Xenopus tropicalis: one gene and its partner. The protein of the gene in region 1 interacts with the protein of each later gene in a biochemical or structural test. Links are inferred from orthologs where the notes say so. Each region holds a gene or a part of one and is shown on either strand. Other genes may lie near its edges.

What was found.
Region 2: the proteins of pax3 (region 1) and sox10 form a complex in vitro, tested with the Homo sapiens proteins (2 studies listed by BioGRID and IntAct). The link is inferred for Xenopus tropicalis from reciprocal best matches to the Homo sapiens genes PAX3 and SOX10.

Annotation. Positions count from the first base shown.
Region 1 is NC_030681.2:124,955,758-124,958,756, forward strand, and holds part of pax3 (paired box protein Pax-3), read right to left. Parts: intron 546-2,999; coding exon 299-545; intron 1-298. UniProt on the Homo sapiens protein: Transcription factor that may regulate cell proliferation, migration and apoptosis. Involved in neural development and myogenesis. Transcriptional activator of MITF, acting synergistically with SOX10.
Region 2 is NC_030680.2:122,164,749-122,167,666, forward strand, and holds the end of sox10 (transcription factor Sox-10), read right to left. Parts: coding exon 2,829-2,918; intron 2,635-2,828; coding exon 1,964-2,634; 3' UTR 514-1,963; downstream 1-513. UniProt on the Homo sapiens protein: Transcription factor that plays a central role in developing and mature glia.

The DNA.
Region 1 (2,999 bases):
AAGAGAGGGATACTTCAGTGGAAATGGTTTAACTGTCCTTCAAATTGAGAAGGAAATATTAATCCTCATATGCATACAGAAACAAACTCCAAACATCCCGGTGAACTTTCAGTTTCCAGTACTGTGTAATAGGAATGTCGGAAACACGGCTCTTGTGAACTGCTAAGTCCAGACTCCTGAGCAAGCACACTGCTGCTTCAGGAGAAGGACACGTTTAGTCCACATTCAATTTATTATAGAAGGATTAACTGGGGATGTGTCACTGCGTAAAATGTTAAAGCATAAAGGCACTACTTACTCTGTCCATACTGGGGATATTGGTATCCTGTGACAGGCTCCATGCTGTAACCTGAGGTGCTGTATGTTGGTGGGCAGTAAGACTGTGATGTTGACAGACTATCCAAGCTCTTCATATGTTCCAGTCTCTGGCTACAACTTGCTGATACAGCTGTGGGAGGCTCCAGGCCTCCAGTTAAAGGAGATAAGGCATAATCCGTCTGAGGCTGATGTGGAACTCCACCATGGTTAGTCAGGAGACCCATAACCTGCAGGAAATAAACAGATTGCATTTTAAATTTTACTTCGTGACTGTTGTTACGAAATGACACATCTTATATTTTTTTGTATTTAAAAGTACAGGTAAACATATACAGTTAATGAATATCTAACTTATATCCTCATTTATTTATGTAGCAGCAAGTTACTCAGCACTTAAAAATATAGAAAAGAAACAAGGGACTTCTAATAAATGAGCAAACCAGAATTACAGTATAAGGCTGATGTCCCATAGGGAGGTTAATTAACTACAATAAATCTCTGCTACTGTGGGCGACTGATCTCCACAAAAAGTCTTTCCACCAGCAATAAAGGGAATTGGCAGTGGAGGTCGTACAAAGTTGCCGGCAGGAGGAAACTGTGTGCAACTTCAGAAAAACGAATCAACACATAGGCCTTTCCACTGGCGATTCTCTTTGTTGCCGGCGGAAAGGCATTTCGTGTTGTTGATAAGTTGTGCATGCAACCAGCCCCACAGAGTCTGTCTCTCTCAATCTGATATTGAGATTCCAGTGCTATGGGAATCTACCTGCACTTAATTAACATCTTCCATAATTTGATTTTCATGCTTGGGTCTATTTGAAAAGCTAAAAAGAGAAGCCGCCTCAGGCTTCAGGGCCCTGTTTTGTTTTGTTTTTTTGAGCCTTGACCTATTTGCCTACATGGAGAGTTGACCAAAGGGCACAGTCACCTTGCCCTAATCACTTCTCTCTGTTTAACTGTTTCCTGGTTAAACTAAGCTCTGTTTTCATTTTTGTACACCAGGGATCCCCAACTTTATTTATTCATGAGCCATACTCAGAAGTAAAAAGAGTTGGTGAGCCACACAAACATTAAAACCCCTGGGAATAACATCAAATAGGGTGGTGAGCAACATGATCACTGCAATAGAAGATCAGTTTGCAGAAATGTGTCCCTTTCTCACTGTAAGCTCTTTCCACCATCTACTCATAATGTGTAGGCAGCTTGGTTGTACAGCACAGAAATAAAGTGTTGCATTTGGTCTGTTTTCATTTTGTGTCATGGACAGAAGGGTTAATATCCAATGACTGTTAGCCGTTAATGTTTTCTGTTCATATTTGACCCTGACACATGTGCAGCGTGTAATTTACGGAAGCTCTCTCCACAGGAAGCTGGACACGTTGTCCTGAAGATGTCCAGAGCTTTACTCAATGGTGATGGGAACCAGATGCAGCGCAGATTCTCAGTTCTAAGAAAAATTGTGCCACCTGCCCTTTACTATCCCCGCTGAGCACAATGCCTTTCAAATTCCTTAGCCATGTTCACACAAGCATGAATCAACTGATGGCAGTTTCTATCCCTCATACCTGTAGCTGAATATCTCCATCATGTGTATTTAATCTGACTTACACCTCAGTGGGATTTTGTACTAATAATCGTATTTTGTAAATCAGTCTGTGGGGACTGTACGTATAAAGGGGAATTCCAGACTTGCAGACAAAAAGACAGTTACATCTGGATGTTTCCAATACATTAAGGAAACTACAAACTACATGAACATTTATATTAGGAATTCGTTTTTGCTTATTTGGCAGATGCACATATTCTGTATGACATGCACACAAGTCACTTCCGCACCCCAAGAAGCAGAAGGTTGTTAAAGACACACTGAATCACCAGCGGATAAAAATTGGACAGGGTGGGTGTATGAGCTGCCTCTTATACTTAAGCGTTTCCACATGGCGCCTTCCTGGAAGGCTAATCCAGGGCCTTGTTACCTTTATATATAGACTCCAAAGCCCCACTAAGCAATGACAAAAGATGTGTAAACTTAAGGCACAGGATAACTACAAAAAAGCTTCTACACAAACAAATTTGGCATCTATGTGCCCTGCGCTTAAATTATGGCAACATGACATTCTGAAATAACATCCTTACTTCTATAAACGAAAAGGTACAACGAACCCCTTATACTCCACAAGGCAAGTGATAGAATAAAGAAGTAAGCACCATGTTTGGACATGCAGGAATTTATTTCTCACTTATCTTTAGATCTGTACCTGCAACGCATTTGGATTATCCTTCCAAAAGAAGCATACAGCATGCATGGCAGCCTCTGGAGAGGATCTGGGCAAGGGGCATGTTTAGAGCCATGCGAGGCCTGCATAGCTGTGTCTCAGGCCAACCCTGACTGGCAATCTGTGGATTCTGGCAAATGCCAGAGGGGTTGCTGTAAGGTGCCACAGCCAGTCCCTATTTATTGGGATGATTGGGGGCTGTTTGGGCCTCTGTGTACTTAAAATGCCAGGGACTAATTTGGCCTGTTACAGGCAAGCTAAACAGTATCTGGAGTAACCGCTGGAGAATAAGGATGAGGATGGATAGGAACCGATACATAGTTTATTAGCATATTAATCAATTTACAGTTGCTAGAGCTAGTTATATATTATTCTTTATTCTGAATTGGGGGGGTTTGAATTTTA
Region 2 (2,918 bases), on another chromosome or scaffold:
TTACCTTGCCTAAAAAGGCACACTGAGTCTGAAGATTTATTTTTTTAATACAATATATATCTTGAATATGTTTATGAACAGTTAAAGAAATTGCCAGAATTGGGTAAGATAATATTTACATAAATAACAAACACATACAGTTACATATATAGGCAATAATGACAAAAAAAACAATCATTTGATAACTGGATGGAAACTGATGGAGGAAGGGACAATTTATGTTATACATCGGAGTTAATATTGGTATACAGCAAAGCATTAAAGAATTAACTCCAAATGGGTTAATGGATTTCTGTCCCTCTTTATAACAAAACCCACCCCCCAAAAAATGTTAAACCCAAAGTTCACTGGTTTGGTTTAATCCTGTGGGCACCAGTTCTATATAATCCTCTCTGCTACCCACAGGATTAGAAGCACCGGCCTCTACATTGCTGCCCCGAAACAAACAAAAATAGATATATATATACGAATATATAGTTTTATATTTACACATTGTCTCTACTTTTTTTTCCATTTTTTTCATCCTGAAAAACATACTTCATAGTATCCTCTGTATTTCCCACGTTGGAAATGGTTCTAAAAAGTAACATAAGAGAGTTGGAAATGTCTACTGCAGAGAATCCTTAATATGAACAATCATTTGAAAGCGATCATCTTTTGCCATCTGTAATACTTCTGACTTGTAGAATTAAACATACATTGACAAGTAACTGGGGGGGGTCATTATGTAAACAACAAGTTATAGATTTTGTTCCAATAGACTGACATGCTAGCTCTCTGCTGTTTGAGTATTGCACATGGGAAATGAGAACAACATGATATAACAGCTAAATAAGACATTATAGTATTTAAGACTCTGATACAGACAAAATAACATTCTTGCACCAGAAGCTTCAGATCAGAAAATCACTGCTTTTGTTGTGAAGTGTTTCGACTCCTGGCTCTACCATGTTAACAGGATATTTGTTTAGCTAGATTGTTCTCTTATAATGTTTTTTTATTCCTCCAACTTATTTCCCACTATATCATGAATGAGCGGTAATAGAAATTACCAAATCAGAAAAAAGCACTCTATCTGACCACTTAACCCACAAAATGATGTTAGAATTGAATATGTTATAATGACATGTTTGGCACGCAGCAACTTAGATCCCTCGGACCAAATGGTATTCAGAGTATGAAAAGGGGTTAGTGGAACTTCCTACCCTGAAAAATTCTGACCATATAACATAGTGTTAGAATGTTTTTAAACTAGATTCTGGACATCTGACTGTACATATTAATGTGTCATTTAGGTCATTTGCTTGCTCTATTCACAATACAATGAATAAAGTTTGCAGGTTTTGAATCTCCAGCCTGTGTTGTGTCCATAGTAAGTTTTTGCTTGATGCCCTTGAAGCACAAGAGAGGGCTAGATATAACTTCATTCATTCTAACATGCATTATACTTATTTGTTGACTAACTTTCATGTAAATACCCAAGATAAAAAAAAAATGATGTTCATGCTATCCCTTATTTCATACAGTCTAGCAGCCCAGGTTAGTTCGGTAAGTAGTCAAGCTGCTTTTGGTTGGCTGTCAGAGGCTTTTGTTTTATCGTACAAAGAGTGTACATACCTAAGCCTCCAATGTCACTTCAGTATCTAAGATCAAAAACACAGGTATAGCAAATGTTGCAGTTTCCTCCCTTTGTACAAGAGACCCAAGTCCATAAACTTTGTAAAAAATGCATTCCCTTCCCCCATCCCTGCATTGCCCTGCTATTCTACCCCTACTATGTTTATGTCTTTTCAATAAAGAAGAACCAGTCACTGTCTTTTCCAGGGGTCTGTAAAAACCATCTAGGGTTTACTGATACTTTTGGAATCCAGATTCCACCTGGGTTATGAGCTATGAAAGGACCATGCTGGAGCCTATTATTCTTCAGGACCTGTCCCTCCTTAGTTATGTAGCTTTGTCCTCTTCATGGTCTTGACAGTGTAGTATAGACTGGCTGTTCCCAATGTGTAGGGCTGTGTGACTGAGCTACACTTGGAGAATCAGATATTGCAGTGTAAAGTGGACGTTGAGGAGGTCCCATGTAGGAAAAGGCTGAATAGAGACTAGATGCTTGGGAGGAATGGCTGTAATAAGAACTTGATGGTTGATGGTCAGCATAATCGAACTGTGGCCTGGAAATGGAGGGGAATGCTGAACCATAATGTGGAAGGCCAAGTGAAGTGTAGGTCAGCTGAGATGTAGATGGTTGCTCTGTATAATGACTGGTACTTGAGCTTTCTGTCTTCACTTGAGCTTTGGAGTCAGTTTGGGGGTGTTGCTTTGCCAGAGCCCAAGCAGATGGACCAGCTGCTAGAGCTCCACTGAGGCCATAGCTGGAAGTGTAACCCCCAATGTGACTTGGGTGCCCAGCATGACCATTAGGCGGAAGGTACTGGTCAAATTCATTGACGTCAAATGTCTCCATATTAGCCATGACATCATGGCTGATCTCACCTATATCCACATTTCCAAAATCAATGTGAGGTTTTCCCCCTTCTCCCAATGAACGAGACCCATCCCTCTTGCCATCAGACTTTCCTGCCTGAAGCTCTGTCTTTGGTGTTGTTGGTGGGGTAGGGGGTCCATGACTTTGACCTGGAATTGAGTAATTCTTTTAGTTAACAGGGTAGATGTTACCGTGACCCTTTCTAAAACAATCCCCTCATTTTTCTATAGATAACAATTTGCTTTATTGCGTAATAAAGTAATTATTATACTATAATATGCATTATATAACAATATTAAAATGTCGTCCCCAGTGGTTCTAAAATATTTTCTTAAAGCTGTACCTGCAGAGTGCTCTGAATTCCCATCAGACATGGGAGAACCATGTCGGTGATCTAGATGGGAGTTTTTGTAATGTGCTTGTATGGAGGCAG